Linked DNA regions of Notamacropus eugenii. The protein of the gene in region 1 interacts with the protein of each later gene in a pairwise test. Links are inferred from orthologs where the notes say so. Each region holds a gene or a part of one and is shown on either strand. Other genes may lie near its edges. The genes, in order: LNX2 and LRRC8E.

Evidence for each region.
Region 2: the proteins of LNX2 (region 1) and LRRC8E interact in a two-hybrid assay, tested with the Homo sapiens proteins (3 studies listed by BioGRID and IntAct). The link is inferred for Notamacropus eugenii from reciprocal best matches to the Homo sapiens genes LNX2 and LRRC8E.

The regions. Positions count from the first base shown.
Region 1 is NC_092876.1:195,754,179-195,763,095, reverse strand, and holds the start of LNX2 (ligand of Numb protein X 2), read left to right. Parts: upstream 1-5,383; 5' UTR 5,384-5,522; intron 5,523-6,167; 5' UTR 6,168-6,340; intron 6,341-8,917. Other genes in the region: protein POLR1D, read right to left, coding at 4,237-4,550.
Region 2 is NC_092875.1:51,719,038-51,727,386, forward strand, and holds the start of LRRC8E (volume-regulated anion channel subunit LRRC8E), read left to right. Parts: upstream 1-4,535; 5' UTR 4,536-4,621; intron 4,622-8,349. UniProt on the Homo sapiens protein: Non-essential component of the volume-regulated anion channel (VRAC, also named VSOAC channel), an anion channel required to maintain a constant cell volume in response to extracellular or intracellular osmotic changes.

The DNA.
Region 1 (8,917 bases):
CTCTTCCTCCTAATTCTTACACCTCTCCTTTACTGTATCATATTGTGCTTTGTATTTGGCTGATTGTATGTGCCTTATCCCCATTAGTATATTACAGACTCCTTGAGGATAGACATTTTGTTATTTCTCCATCTTTGTACATTTAGTAGAGTATCATGCACATGTTGTTTCCTCCCAGTAGATCATCCATCAGTTGTTTGAGGGATGGGCTTCTTTCTGTCTTTATATAGACAGTGAGTGACAAACAATATGTGCTTAATGAATATAGTCTGAATGGAAACGAATATACCTTGAAATTTAATTCATTGATCTATGTTATGGTACATAGTATAAGGTATGGATCTAAATTTATTTTCTCCAAAAACATTAAACTTATTGATTATGCTTTTCTCATACTTTGACTATTTGCTATTTTTCATGATTCAAATATAGTTTGTTATGAAGTCATAGGTCCAGATCTGGAAGGGATCTCAGAAGTTATTTACTTCAACATCCTCACACAAAAGAAAGGAAACTAAGGCCCAGTGAGGTGAGATGACTTGCCTAAGGTCAAAGAGGTAGCGACAGACATTGGAACCCAGATCTTTTAACTCTTGAGTCCAGTGTCCATTCTTCATGCTCCCACTTCTAGTCACTGCCTTTAGTGGCAAATAGCAATTGTCTGTATTTTTTCCTCTCACATTCTCGTATACAAAATTAAGGTGTTAAGAGTATTGTTGTTTTCATAATCGCTGGGACAACCAAGCATCTTTAGCTCTACAGGGACAAGCAGACACTCCTCCCAGGAGACTGTAAACTCCCTGATGGATGGATGGTCCCTATATCTATTCCCAGACAACAGGAGGCACTTAATATTTGTTGATTGATAATCAGATCTACAAAGTCTAGTACCTAGTAGAACCTCCTTCTAACAAAGTCAAAGCTACTTATCTTCTGTTATGTGGCATCCTAATAACATGATGTTACCTATGAAATTGGGAGTGGGGAGGAATAAGCATAATAATAATTATAATAAGGTGAATATGTGCCAGGCACTCTGCTAAGGGCTTTTTACAAATATTATCTCATTCGTTCTTCACAATAACTCTGTGAGGTAGGTGCTACTAATATCTTACATTTGAGGAAATTGAGGCAAACAAAGGTTAAATAATTTGCCCAGGATCACAAAACTAGTTAAGTGTTTAAGGATGGATTTGAACTCGTCTTCCTGACCCCAGGCCCAACATTCTATCTACTTTGCCATAACCTGCCTGACTTAATATGTGACTTGGTGAGATATTAGGTTGTTGGGAGCTCTGGGAGGAAACTCTCAATGCTTGCTTCTTAACAAAACCTAATGTGCTTCCTTACCTTTACCACTGAAGGCAGAACAACGATAAAGGCTTGATATTCATCTAATATGTCAATGTCTTATCACTCATCAGGATTGTATTAATAGACCTTGTTCTCAGTGGATGGAATTAGATGGACCCATTTTTTGCTTTGGCAAACTATACACAAGCAAGCAAATTACAAGATGGAGGGTAGAGCCTAGCTTTGTTATAGAAATAGAACAATAAAGGTATAGAAATATCAGTTAAGGGAAACTAGAGGCAGAGATATGCAAGAAAAGAACAAAGAATGTGAGGAATCAGAGAAAGATAACTAAGCATTAACCAAGGAAGGAGGAGGCTAATAAGTTACCATATGGAGGGAATAAAAGCCTTCAAAGTCCAAAGAGTATAGAACTGATTTCCTCAATATTCCAAGGTAGAGTAAGTACTACTTTGGACTAGGTATAGAAACAGGATATAACTAAGAGAAAATCAAGTGTAAGGGGCCAAGCTTCAGTAAGAATCTAGAATGGAGGAAATCATTAAGAACAGTATTGGGGTTTGTTTTTTTTGGCTTGACAAGATACTGGTACATCTTAACAAACTCTGTGTAACTGTGTAAGCTGTGTAACCATAATTTCCCTAAACATGCAATTTTTACCTTAAGATTTCTAACTTAATCATTTGACTAAAAATGGGCTGAGTATAACACTGCAGAACAGAGGTGACTAACAGGTGAACTTGTAGCCTTTCTTCCCCTAAACCTGTAGCCTTTTTCCATCTCTCTCCTGGGCTGGGTCAATTATCATCTCTATCCAGATGACACTCAGCTCTATTTATGAACTATGAGATATTTATGAGATTTAATACATGACAATCATCTGAGATTAAGTAAGTGTAAAAAATACTTCATACAGTGCCTGACAAGCTAGATACTTATTCCCTCCCCCTTTTATTTGTCCAGCCTAGTCTCTCTTATCTTTCCAACTTTCTATTAGACACTTCAAACTGGATGTTCTGTAAACAACTTAAATTTCATATGCCCCAAACTGAAATCATTATTTTTCTCTGTAAGTCCTCCTCCTTCCAAAATTCCTTATTATCATTCAGCACACCACCTTTCTTTGGTCACTCAGGCTCACAACTAAGTTGTCATTCTTGACTCCATTTTCCTTTCATATCCAATCAGTTGTTAATCAAGTCCTGTCACTTCTACTTTTGTAGTATTTCTTGCATATGCCCCCTTCACTCCTCTGACGCTGCCATCACCCAAGGCAAGCCTTTTTTGCCTCACCCCTAGAATAGCTTGCTGGTTGGTCTTCCTGACTCAAGTCTCTGCCCACTTCACTGCATCCTCTACTCAACCAGGCATTTTCACTGGCCGCCTGCCATGGCTGGCTCTCTATCTCTGACTCCTGGTTTCCTTCAAAGTCTCACTTTCTGCAAAAAGTCTTTCTTTAATCACAGTATCTATGATTATGCCCAATTTATTCTTTATGTATCTTACTTGTACATAATTGTCACATTTTCTTTACCCCATTAGACTGTGTGTGGCGGGCTTCTGGAGAACAAGAACTGTCTTTAGCCTTTCTTTGTACCCCCAGTGCTTGACCCATAGGAGGTAAATAAATGCTTGTTGATTGGGAGCAGAGTTAAAGAACAAGGGTGAGCGAGAGTGGTCTGAAACTTCTACCAACCTTCCACCTTCTCCTAGTTCATGCCTCCACAACCCTTCATGCAACATCATTCGAGCAACAAAATTCAACTATCTCTTCCTAAGGCAAAGGTTCTTCACTGTTTTTGTCATGAATCCCCTTTGGCAGTCTGGTGAAGCCTATGGAGCCCTTCTGATGTTTTTAAATAATTAACTACACACAGGATTACACAAGAAAACAATGATACTGAAATACAGTTACCCCAAAATGAACCAAAAAACCACCCAAGTTCTTGGTGGGCCAAAGGAAGAACTCCTGAATTAGTTTTCCCTCTCCCTTCACCCCCCACCCCAATTATCCTTATGGAAGCTATCACAATCATTTTCCCAAGGCATGGCAAGCCTTCAAAGGCCGTTTTCCATATAAAAACCTGAGCCTGGTAGGGACCATACTTTCCAAATATTTCAATCACCAGAAACATGTACGTTGTAGGAGTTAGCTGGAAAGCCATTTATCCACGCAATAAATGCGCACTAGGGTCCATCGGTTCCTTCTGCTGCTTTTTCCACATTCATTCTACTCTGGAATCTCAGGGTGTCCGCGTTTCTCAATAATAAAACCCGAGAGTGAGCCCCACCACTTTTCCCATCTTTCTCCTCCTCCCCTCCCACACGCAGCACTGTGTCCTTTCCCTTTTTTGGGGGGGGGGCACCGATTCTCATTTCCTCTCTCCCTGCCCCCCCTCCAGCCCAGGCTGCCCGTCCCGTCCCGTCCCTTCGCCTCCCCAGGCCCGCACAGGCGGACGCCGGGGCCACAGGCCCCCCGGGGCGTCCTCCCCTCCTCCGCTCAGAACCCGCCGCTGTCCAGACCGTTACCTCTCCAGTTCCTCGTCCTCTTCCATGGCGCGGCCGAGGGCAGCTTCCGGGCTCCTCAGGTGGCGGGGGCGGCCCCAGGGATGTGCCCCATACCTCGGTCCCCGCGGGCTGAGCAGGAAGGAAGGAGGAGCCGGAGGAGGAGCCGCGGCGGCGCGGCGAGGCGAGGACCCGGCCGAGGGGCGGTGCCTCCTGGCGGCTCTGCCCCCGCCCCCGCCCGGGGGAGCGGCCGCCCCTCACCTGGCGAGCCCCTCCCTTTCCGCTAGTCCGCAGAGAGATTTTTTATCTTCTAGCCCGCCCTCCTCTCCCGCCGGCGGGGCCTCCCCCTTTGCTTGGGGTAATCCCCTCTCCTGACCCGGCCTTGCCTCCTCGCTTGGGAGTGGTCTTCTCCCTCACCTGGCGGGATCTTTCCCCCTCCTCCAAAGGCAGGGCTCGTTACTATTCCTATTCCCTGCAGCCGGGCACCTTGGGGGGTACTCAGCCCCCGCCTCAGGTGACCCTCCTCCCCACAAAGCACCTATCCGGGAATGGGCGAGGATCCCCTCCCCCAGGCCTCCACCAGCCCACCCCCAACTGTCTCCCCCGCGCCCGCCCCCCTCCTCGTGGGGAGCCCTGCCGAGGCTCCTCTCCGAAATGCACGCGGACAAGCCGGGGTGGGAATCCCAGCTCGCTTTATCAGCTGCGTCGGGGGCTAAGGAGAGTGTCTGCATGGGTCTCCTGAGGGGATCCGGTCCCTGCCTCGAGGCTCAGCTTGGGCAGTTGGACGAGTCTCGTTTAAGCTTGGGCGGAGACTTGGGGTCTGGTCTCTATCCTTTCTCCTCGGGGCCTGTCCTGACCCCCGAAACCCTCATCTCTTATCAAGATTTGTCTCTTTCCTTTTCCTCTTCTGTCCTCCGTTGGGAATCCCTTCTTTTCCGGAGCCCCGGAGCCCCACACCCCCGTACCTCCTTCCCTTTCCCGTATTGTTCCTTTTCTCCAGCCAGCCTCCCCTTTCCCTTTTCTCTCCCTCAGGTGTTCTTTCCCACGTGCTTGAGCCCTTTCCCTCGTTTCCACCTCCGCCCCTGTTTGCTCTTTTCCCTGCTCCAGCTGTCTTCTCCCATTTCCACATTTCCCCACGCCTTTCCCCACTTGTTCTCCTCCCCCTCACACATGTGACTCTTCCCCCCAGCTGTTCCACTCCCCATGGCCAGAGCCCCGGGGAAGCCTCCGAGCCAGTCTTCTGCAGGGAAATCAGGCAAGTGACGGAGACAGCCCGGGCCAAGGAGCCGGAGGGTGGGGAGGGGCGATCGGAGGGAACAGCGGGGCGGGGCTGACTCACTCTAACCCGGGAGGCTCTGCTGGGTTAGCGCCCCACCCCCTCAGCTCTTCCATAGGGCGAGCCTCTCCCTGCTCCGCCCCCTCCCTGACCTGAGGCGCGTCTGATTGGCTAGAACGGGTGTCGGGTTAGGCGGTTCGGTCGCGGGCGCTCGCCCCCGGGATGTGAGCAAGCAGGGGCGGTTGAGGCGTAAGTGAAGTCTTGGCCGGAGTTTGCTTCTTGCCAGGAATCCCGCGGCTGCGGCGGCGGCGGCTTTTGGTGAAGCGGAGGCGGGTCACGTCTCTTCCCCCCTCAGCCGGCGGAGGCGGCCGAGCGGACCGAGGCTTCCGGAGCGCCGTGCCGCGGTGGGGTAGCCCTCGATTCCCAGGTAAGTAACTTTGGACTGCGCCTCCCGTTTCGCTCCCGCTCGGCGTTCTCGTCGTCGCCTCAGCGGCGGCAGCGACCTTCTGTCTGCCTGCGTGCGGGGCTCAGGTGCCAGCGCCCCGGGGCGGGGGGGAGGAGCGTCCCCGCTGCGCCCCTTTCCCCGGGCACCGCGTCCTCGCGCTCTTCTTGGCGGCTCCTGTCCGAAGGTGGAGGAGGAGGAAGATCTGGAGGACCGTCTCGGACTTGTCCGGACCAGGGCGCGGGGTGGGTGTGGGGCTGGCCCATCTGGCCCCGGGAGGGACGCCCTCGCTGCCGGCGGTGCCCGGCGGGCGCTCCGGGAGAAGTCAGCCTGGGCCAGGCCGGGACCGCGCTTATCCCGGGGTAGGAAGCTGGGGAAGGAGCCCTCGCCTCTCCGTGGGCTGTCGGAGCAACCCTGCTGGTTTCCTCCGGGACGCTGCGGGGAGGTGGTCCCCCACCCCCAGTCCTCACCTGTTGCCTTTTTATCACCTCCCTCTTGGGCTGGCGGTGGAGGTGGAGGAGAGTGGCCCGAAACCTTCCTGCCCAGATCTTATCGGCCCCGAGGAGGGCAGAGGTGGTCCCCGAGCCTTCCGTTAAGAAGTGACACCTCTTCCCACCTTGGATGCCGTAGGTCGAAGACGCTGTACAGTTACCTGTTGAGGCTGAAGGGCAGCGAGCCCAGAGCTGCACGTCTGACGCAAGTCCCCTCACCTTTTTGACTCTGGACAACTCGGGACTCTAAGATGCAGAGGCTTTCCAGCTTTGCACTGGTAGAAATTCCCTCGACTGAGTATTCTAGGACAGGTAACTGGCTGTGAATGCAGAGAAGGTGCTGGTGGGCATCGACTGAGCTCTCTGGTAATAAGTAATTTATTCAAATGGATTCACAGGCCCTGGCCCCTCCTCACCGTGAAGATGGTTCCAGCGCTTATTTTGTAGTAGGTGCTTAATAAATGTTTGTAGAGTGGAATTGAATTTTAGCATTCCAGTTTATGTACTGTTATGAATACAGTTACATACTCTTCTTTCAGGTGCTACTTTTCAGGATCTGTGCATTTTAAAAAACGTGTACCAGGGCTACTTGGAAGTGTATTTTTTAAAAAATAGAAAAATCACAGAACCTGGAAAGGGAGTAGAGTGAAACAGTCTTAGTGCGGGAGAAAGAAACTATTTTAGGCTCCTGTTAGTTGATGCTGGGTTAAAATTGTGAGTTTCAGCCTCACTCTCCATAGCAGCAAAAGCTTACAAATAAGTTTCATCTTCCTAGCTCTTAGAAGGATCAAAAGATTATAGCTGAAAGATACTTAAGAAATCACTCAAATCACTGAGGTCCAAATAGGTAACGGGGTCGCTGTTACACATGGCCTGGGGTTTGTTTTTTTTGTTTTTTGAACCTCAGTGCTCTTACCCCAAGTCTTGCACATATTCTTTGAACCATCCTCATGTACTCCTAGCCAAGAGGATTGGTCAGAAAAGCCATGAGCTGTGGGAGAAAGGGGATGATCTAACCTTATGCCTGCTCTAGCATATTATTACTGTGAAATCAGTGCTTTTCTCTCTATACATGACTCCTTCATCGTTTATTTTCCCTCCCCCTTTTTTAACTGACTGAATTGTGGCTATATTCTCATAGGTTAAATACAAAGCTAGATTTTTATTAATATAATCAGTGACAAGTGATGAGCATATGGAAAAGGCTAGAAAATGTACTCTGAAAGACAATTTCTTCAGACACTTCAAATGTCTACTGTACGTTGGCCACACAGCTAGTGGAGGGAGAAAAGGAGTTTCTATTATTGTTATTTTTTGTCTGTCAAAGACCAGGTAGATCTTGAATAACAAAGTTTTACCTTTTTAGTTCACCTGAGATACACAGACTTTTTTATGAGTGAAATATAGGTCAAGTCTGAACCAATGTAAAATAATGCCAGTTTCTGTCCAAATCCCTTAGAATAGAGTTTATAGACCCATTGATCCTTTTCTCCTGTAGTGAATTTCAGGTTGAATGCTTGAGTTGTTAGTTTTTGTGTTTTTGTGCTTACTATGAAAAACTTTAATCATATAGGCAGCAAGGTGAAATAGATTAGAAGAGAGTTACTGTAAAATCCAATTTATCTAGAGTAATTGGGGGAATGGGGTCAGGATTCTGCATGATTCTGTGTTGGGAATGGTAAGAACACCCCTCTTTCTAGATGGATGACCGGTGGCAAGTTGATTAACCTCTCTAAATGTCAAGTCTGTTCATTTGTAAAATAGAATTGTACAAATATACTGGGCTTTTTTGGTGAATAAAGTATCTTTTTAACAAAATATTATATAAATGCATTTATTACAAGCACACATCCTCTCTGTAGCTTCTAGACTTAAAGAGTTCCTAAAGCATTGAGAGGTTAACCCTCAGGTCATGGCACAAGCCAGCATGGGTCAGAGGTGAGACTTGAATTTGACTTGGCTTCCTGGCAGCTCTCTACCCATGCTGCCTCTACCAGTTTTCACATATTTTTATAATGGAAATTTAAAGGACATTTATTTTGTTTCTTCTTCACATAACCTTAGTATTCTCTCAACTACTTCTTAACTAGGACTGTCTCTGTTTTTGCAGATGGGAATACTGAGGCTCCAAGAAGTTAACTTGCCTATGGTCATTTAGCTAGTAGGTGTCAGAACCAGGTTCAAGTCTCTCCTAACCCCTAATTCTCATGTCTTTCCAGAATTTAAAATACAATAAAGTACAGTAATAAGTGTAAACTATTGTTTAATGATTTACACTTAATGTAAAATACCATGACTATAAATCCAGAATTAGACTACATTTGTATTTTCCTGATAATTGATGTATACTTTAAAAAATAAATCCCCGGTGTCATCTCTTCGCTTATTTGCTTCTTTTCTTATAGAAGTTCAAACTATTGGAAAAAAAATTTTTTTAAGCTTTCTGATGGTTTGAATTTTGAATAAGAGGGAGTGTTCTGAAGTAGCCTATATGGGTTTTGTTTCCAGAATTACCTTAATAATATAGTCTTTGAAGTCTTGATAAGAATTGTTGAAAGAAGTATGGTGAGTGGTTAAGTACTGTCTGTTATTACTGGCAGGGTTTAATTAAATACAATTTACACATCTCTAATTGCTTTTGCCCAATTTCACAGAATCTGGACTTTTGATGCTGATAATGAGCGTGGGAGAATTTTGTGGAGGAAAAAGAAAATTTTGTATTTTTCACTCAGAAAGGGAAAAGATAGTATGTGAGGAGAAAATATGCAAATAAGTAATGCATATAATGCAGGCATATCATAGTATTTCAGCAGATCCATGATCTCCTCTGTTGTAATTGCTACTTCCAGTAATGCATAACCCATTCATCATACCTTCTTGACATGTGCA
Region 2 (8,349 bases), on another chromosome or scaffold:
AAGCAGAATTAGCCAAATGGAAAAGGAGATTCAAAAGCTCACTGAAGAAAATAGTTCTTTCAAAATTAGAATGGAACAGATGGAGGCTAATGACTTTATGAGAAACCAAGAAATCACAAAACAAAACCAAAAGAATGAAAAAATGGAAGATCATGTGAAATATCTCATTGGAAAAACAACTGACCTGGAGAATAGATCCAGGAGAGACAATTTAAAAATTATGGGACTACCTGAAAGCCATGATCAAAAAAAGAGCCTAGACATCATCTTTCATGAAATTATCAAGGAAAGCTGCCCTGAGATTCTAGAACCAGAGGGCCAAATAAGTATTCAAGGAATCCACAGATCACTGCCTGAAAGAGATCCAAAAAGAGAAACTCCTAGGAACATTGTGGCCAAATTCCAGAGTTCCCAGGTCAAGGAGAAAATATTTCAAGCAGCTAGAAAGAAACAATTCAAGTATTGTGGAAACACAATCAGGATAACACAAGATCTAGCAGCTTCCACATTAAGGGATCGAAGCGCGTGGAATAGGATATTCCAGAAGTCAAAGGAACTAGGACTAAAACCAAGAATCACCTACCCAGCAAAACTGAGTATAATACTTCAGGGGAAAAATTGGTCTTTCAATGAAATAGAAGACTTTCAAGCATTCTTGATGAAAAGACCAGAGCTGAAAAGAAAATTTGACTTTCAAACACAAGAATGAAGAGAAGCATGAAAAAATAAATAGCAAAAAAAATTAAAGTCAGGCAAGTGGAAGCTAATGATTCTATGAGATATCAAGAATCAGTCAAACAAAACCAAAGGAATGAAAAAACAACAATGTAAAATACCTCATTGGAAAATAGATCCAGAAGAGACAATTTAAAAATTATGGGACTACTTGAAAGTCATGATTAAAAAAAAGAGCCTTGACACCATCTTTCAAGAAACTATCAAGGAAAACTTCCCTGATATTCTAGAACCAGAGGGTAGAATAAATATTGAAGGGAAGGACAAAAGATCTATCAAAAATATCAAGGGAATCAATGAAAAAAATATGAAGAAAGGTGGCTTGGCAATACCAGATCTCAAATTGTATTACAAAGCAATAATCATCAAAACAATTTGATTACTTGCTAAGAAGTAGAGTGGTAGGTCAATGGAATAGATTATGTACACAATATAGAGTAATAAATGGCCATAATAACATAATGTTTTATAAACCCAAAGATCCAAGCTTTGGGGACAAGGACTCACCATTTGACAAAAACTACTGGAAAAACTGGAAAGCAGTTTGGCAGAAATTAGGTATAGACCAGCATCTCACACTGTATACCAAGATAAGGTAAAAATGGGTACATGATTTAAACAAATAGGGTCCTGCCATAAGCAAATTGGAGGAGCAAGGAATAGTTTACCTGTCAGATTTCTGTATAAGGGAAGAATCTGTGACCAAACAAAAAACAGAGAGCATCACAGAATGCAAAATGGATAATTTTGATTACATTAAATTAAAAGGATTTTGCACAAACAAAACCAATGAAGCCAAAGTTAGAAGGAAAGCAGAAAACTGGGGAAATTTTACAGCAAGTTTCTCTGATAAGGGCTTCATTCATCAAATACATAGAGAACTGAGTCAAATTTATAAGAACATAAGATATTCCCCAATTGATAAATGGTTGAAGGATATAGACAGGCAGTTTTCAGATGAAGAAAGTCAATTGGAAAAAATGCTCCAAATCACTATTAATTAGAGAAATACACATTAAAATAATTCCAAGGTACCACCTCACACCTATCACATTGGCTAATAAGAAAGAAAAGGAAAATGACAAATGTTGGAAGGAATGTGGGAAAGTCTGAATACTAATGCACAGTTGATGCAGTTGCAAATTGATTCAACCACTCTGGAGAGCAATTTGGAACTATGCCCAAAAAGCTATAAAATTGGGCCTATCCTTTGACCCAGCAACAAGTCTATATCCCAAAGACATTTTTTTTAAAAGAAAAAGGATCTATATGTGCCAAAAAAATTTATAGCAGTTTTATGGTGGCAAAGAATTGAAAATTGAGGGGTTACCCATCAATTGGGGAATAGCTGAACAAGTTGTGGTATGATTGTGATGGAATACTATTGTGCTATAAGAAATGAAGAGAAAGATGCTTTCAGAAAAAGACATGAACTGATACAAAGTGAAATAAGTAGAACCAAGAGAACTTTGTACCCAGTAACGGCAATATCATACAATGATCAACTGTGAATGACTTAGCTATTCTCAGCAATACAATGATCTAAGATAATTCCAAAGGACTCATGATAGTAAAAATGCTATCCACCTCCAGAGAAAGAATGGTAGAGTCTGAATGCAGATTGTGATAGAGTCTGAATGCAGATTGAAACATACTTTAAAAAAAACTTTATTTTCCTTATTTTGGGGTGGTGTTTTTTTTGGTCTTTGTTTTTTTTTTCACAAGATGACTAACGTGGAAATATGTTTTGCATCATTGCACATGTGTAATCTACATGAAATTGAGGACAGAATTTGGATCTTGAAAATTTTAAAAAACAGATGTTAAAAATTTTTGCACATAATTGGAAAAAAGCATTAAAAAATTTATTAATTGTCAATGTGCTAAGTGCTGGGGATACAAAAAGAGGCAAAAGATTGTTCCTGCCCTGGAGGAGTTTACACTAGGAAAGAAAACACGAAAACAAATACATTCAAAGTAAGCTACAAATAGGGTAAATAGGACATATATAACAGTGGAAAGGCACTGGAATTAAGAGGGGTTGGTAAAGACTTCCAATAAAGGAAGGGATTTTAGCTGGCTCTTAAAGGAAGCCAGGGAAGTCTGTAGTTGGAGTAGAGAAGGGAGAGCATTCCAGGCATGTAGAAGAGCTGGAGAAATTGCCTAGAGCCAAGAGAGGGAATGCCTTGTTTGTGGAATAGCCAGGAGGCCAGTGTCACTGGATCGAAATGAAAGTATTGGGAAGCAAGGTATAAGAAAACTAGAAAGGTAAGAAGGATCCAAGTTACAAAAGGATTTGAATACCAACCGAAGCATTCTGTATTTGCTTTTGGAGGCAATAGGAAGCCATTGAGGTTGATTGAGTAAGAAGGTGACATGATTAGATCAAAGTTTTAGAGAAATCATTTTAGTAGCTGAATGAAAGACAGAGTGGGGAGAGACCTGAGGCCCGCAGAACCCCTCCCTCCCCCAGTAGGCTGTTGTAATAATCAAGGCTTGAGGTGATGAGGGCTTGCACAAGAGGGGTGGCAGCATCAGATGAGAGAAGGGGAGAGTAGTGGAAATCTCCAATTTCCACAGACTTAGGTGTCTGTGCATTTTCTAAGCCTCCTCAGCTTCTTTACTTTTCAATGGGGGGAGAAGAGGGAAAATGTGGCAAAAAAAAAAAAAAATGATAAAAGTGTAAGAGAGATGAGAAGAGAAGGAGAGGTTGTGGCCTGTGAGTCACAGTGCCTCAGGTGAGCTAAGGACTCAAAGGACTGACCTCTTATGCTCAGCTCACCTAACCTGACATCCCCTGATTGAGCTCTTTGCTAGCTCTCCGTTCAGCCAGCTTACCCTCTTTAGGAACAGACAGGGAAGATAGATATAGTTTAAGTGAAGCTAGGTAGGACAGGATCCCTGGGAGACAGGAGAGCTCCAGCTCAAGTCCTTGTTCAGGTCCCAATGCCTGGAGCCCTTCCTTTGAACCCTCCTTTTTCTGCCTGCTGGTGACCATAGAGGCTCCACTGGTCAGAGGGAAGAACGGACATAGGTTAGTTACTGTCTGCTCCCTCTTATCAGAATCTATGTCCAGGTTTACTCATCAGAAGCTCTCTTCTCTCTTTCCAACCCTTGGGTTAACTAGCCTTTTAAGATCCTACATTTCCTCTTCCCCAATTTTTGTTCTGAGCCGGATGAGCCTGCAGGACTGATGTGAAAGGAGTGGAACCCCTTGGGCTGGCCATGTAGTTTCCCTGCAGCTATTGGACATAACCACTACCCCCTGGAGGAGTGGCTGGATGAGGGTTCTAACTCCCTTGGTGCTGACTCCCTAATATTCCCTCTTCTGGATTGGTCTGGGGATTGGTTGGCTGAGGGGAAATCATTAAAGGACCCCACTTCTTTCCCTCTCCCTTAGCTGGAACTGCTGATCTGGGGAGAAGAGAAGGAAACGCTAGACAGTCGGGAGGCAGGGTGCCTGAATCTTTTTTTCCCTTAGAATGACCTGTTAAGTGCCTAAGGCTTAGTTTCCCCTGAAGGTCCAGTACAAAGTCCTACAGGACAGTCATCTAGCTTCCTTTGAGGCTGACCTCAAATGACTGGCTCTGTCCCCAGAGAACCCAACTACGTTGCCCAGTTTAGAAGACTCCCCTGATTTGCTTGAAAGCCCAGACATTTGAATCCTGGTACCCTCCGCCTCAGTTTCCCTTTCCCTCCAGTCTCTGGCCCGAGTAGGGCTGGGGTGAGGGGCGGGACCAGGTGGGCGGAGCAGCTCCGGCTCCTCAGCTCCAGCGGCCACGCCCGACTTGACTCACCCGCCCGGCCCCGGTGCTGCTCGGGACGTCCGGAGGAGACCGGAGCGCATTCCCCGAGAGCTGGGACTGAGTCACTGCTGCACCGGCGGGTGAGTCAAACGAGGGGTCTGTTCCTAGAGCAGATTCAGTTCTGAGAATGGGGATCTATCCCGGCAGGGGAATCCCCTCGGAGGACGGGGATCTGTCCGGAAGGCTAGGGATCTGGACCAGGAGAATGAGGCTCTGTCCCGAGAGCTTGGCGGGAGGGAGTTGTCCCTGTACGGGGAGGAGGACCTGCTGGGAGAACGGAGGTCTGTCCCGAAGGCTGGGGAGCTGCACCTGGAAATCGAGGACTAGTGTGGAGAGCGAGGGGAGAGTGGGAATTATCCCCCCGACAGGGAGATCTGCTGGGACAGTTGAGCTGCGTACGCCACCACACACAGTCTGCCGGGAAAAGAGCGAGATCTACCCCCGGGCAATTGTCGGTGCCATTGAGGCTGAGCCCCTGAACTGGGGGTGGGGGGGAGAAAAGAGCTGAGAGAAGACTTATTCGGGATTCCCTCCTAGTCCCGACCTCTTTTACCCTAAACCCCAGTCCTCATAGATCCTGTTATGGGGCCCAGTCCAGATCTCTTCTACTCTGAGCCCCTGTCACCATAGACGGTCCCCTGACTTATGAAGCGATTGTTTCCCTATCCAGACCCCAGACCCCAGGCCCTGAGATTCCAGTTTCAAAATCCCAATTCCTATTCCTCGATTTTTGACTCCTATCTCTCCAGTCAGCTTTGAGATCCTCAGTCCTCAGCATATTGACACTCCACTATCCTGTCCTTTGGACTAGCCTGTGATTTGGCCAATTAACAAATATTTGGGTGTCTGCCTTCTAGGGATTTCCAATCTCCTAGAAGAGTTAAGACAAGGTTGAAGATAGCTAATCCATAATGAATCCAGTATCATAGGGCAGAGGCCAAGATCTCTAGCCAAAGAATAGGTAGGGGCTGTCTGCTCAGATAGAGCTGGAATGGTCTGGGAAGGCTTCCCACAGGTGAGTCTTGGGTCAAGCACTGAAAGCCCAAGATGGAGAGGATTTATAGAACAAAAGGGGGAAGGACATCTAGAAAAAGGGGTGACAGAGCAAAGGTTAGGGCAGACGAATGAGGAGGGGATGGTGCTTGGAGCAGAAGGAGACATGACCTTGCAGGGGTAGGTTGGGGCCAGTTAGAAGAACATCTCAAGTACCCACTGCAGTGCCTTTTTTTCCCCTCTAGGGTGGGAAAGCCATGGAAAGTCAGGGCAGGGACATGGTCAGACCTGGACTTTAGGAAGATACTTGGTAATTTATGCCAGAAATATCATCTAGAGGTGAGGCAAGAGATGGAAGGGAGGCTGGTCAGGAGGCCATTGTCAGGTAAATGAAGTGCATGCGTCCCCTGGCTTCTCTTTTCTGTGACCTTCCTGTCCCCATCTACTCTGCCTCAGGCATCCAGGGCTCAAATCTTCCCTTACAGATCTGATCTTAGGAAAAGAACAGATGAATCTCTTTGACAAAGGAGTCAGTGACTGAAATGACTGGCTAGGGGACCCTCCCACATATTGGCATTTTGTCAGGGTTAAATGCCTTCAAAGGAATGAAGTCCTGATGATGGGATATCAGGCCTTCCTCAGGGGTCCAGAGCCTGCTTTGAAGTGTCTGAAATCACCGTAGGTCATAGGGTAGATGCTGCCCATCACTTGAGAATTCATTGCTTAGAGGTCTATTATCCTTGGGCCCTTCCACCAGAATCGTTTTCAGACAATGTCCTTGCGCGTGGAGACAGTCATGTGTCTATGGGGGCTTAATGATAGGTTTGGGACCACAAAGTTAGAATTAAAGACAGACAGAGATAATGACAATTCCATGTGTCTGCCAATCTATATGCCACTCTACATTTGGGGCTCTGTCTGGGACTGTGTGTGTTTTTGTGTCCATCTGTCTGGAATGGATTTCTTGTCTGATGTTGTTCATCTCTGCCTCTGTTTATCTGTACCTCTCTGTGTTTGTGACTAGGATTGTGTCTGTCAGTATTTAAGAGAGACTGGTGGGTTGGTGACTATTTCCCTGGGTTTGCTCAATATTTCTATGTGAGCCTGTAACTGAGTAACCAACGATGAGTAAGACTGGGTCTACTGTGATTGTGTATCTATCTGATTGGGTGTTTGAGATGCACGATGGGGACTGGGATTCTTCCTCAGTATTTGTCTTTCTTGAGTACATTTCTAAGATTTTCTCTGACATGGTAGGAACTGATGCAGAAACAAGGGCTTTGTGACCTAAGCTTATCGATAAGTGGTGCATTGGATTTAGTTAGGTGTTTTTTTTTGAGGGGGGTTGTTATTTTTGTCCATCTTTCATTCTCAAAGAGGACAAATGATATGACTTTTGGGGGGGTGGAGGATGGGAGAAGATTTGATGTTGGCTGTGGAAAGTGAGACTTACAGTGATAGACATAATTAGGTGTTTAACAAATGACTTCCATGCTGATCTGCTGTGAAAACCAGAACAATTCAAAATATATTAAGCTCCTACTAAGCACCTCTCTTAGGGACTGGAGGATGTGGAGAAATAATATTGCTTGCTCTTAAGGAGGTGATATTCTATGTTAGGGGACACGATGTGAACAAAAATATTTATAGGACAAGGAAAACGGAGGAGCAAGGTAGAATCAAGGAAGACCTTGGGGAGGAGGGGATGGAACATCAATTGAGTCTTGAAGGGACCGTGAGGTTGAGCAGGGAGGGCCTTCCAGGCATGTGTCATGTGAAGAGTGCCCAGAGACAAAATTTGGATCAGGGAGGATGATCCCTAGAGCTACATCCAGGAAAATCGACAGTCTTTCTGTTTGACAAGAACTGATCATTGGTGAAGGGGAGTCCTATGAAAAAAGATTGGAAAGGAATGTGGGAGCCAGATTGCAGTGGGCTTTAAGCAGTTTGTCACTAGAGATAGGCAGCAGAGGATTATAAAGTTTAGAACAAGGAGAGTGGCAGTGTGGGGCTAGAGGACCAAGGAGTCATGACCCTCTGACCCCAGGTCTTCTATCAGCACTGCCAAGAATATGTCTGTGCAAATGCACTTACACTTTTCTGTTAACACAAATATGCCTACATTTGTGTGTATGCTCTGCAGGCCTATGGTCATGTGGATGTTTCTGTTTTGGTATGTTTTCATGTACCACAAGCAAGCCTGGGTATGGGCGTGTCTGAGTGGGTATGTATCAGTATATGCCAATATCACTGACTGTGAATATATCACTATTTCTGTGTATGTATGTCTGTAACTTGGTTATCGTACATGGAACTGGGCCTCTGACAATAACTTTGGGTGTGTCAGTATGTGTGTGTGTCACTGTATGAGTCAGGATGTCCTGATATATGTGTGTACATGAATGGAGGGTACATGTGAATAAAGACAGGAATGAGCCTGCCTCCATTAGAGTACACACAATCATGCACATATTAAGTAGACGTGTGTGTGTGTGTGTTTGATAGGGCAGACTGATTTGTGAAGACGTAGACATAAGGGTATGATCACTGGCCAAACATCCTTAGACATTGTTTTTGTGCAGGAGCATGCCAGGGCTCAGAGACTGCAAACATCAGTGATACTGACTGGGACTTGGGGATGATCAGCAGGGTTTCATCAGTTCCTTCAAAAGGGAGTTGGTGAGAGTTTAAAGTGGAAACCTAATCTGGAACCCAGGGGTCTTCTATCTCCAACTCCCCAAATGAATTCTGGGCCCAGGGCTAGGCAGACAGAAAGAGATGGGACAGGACAGTAAGGTATTTTGAGAGTCACAGA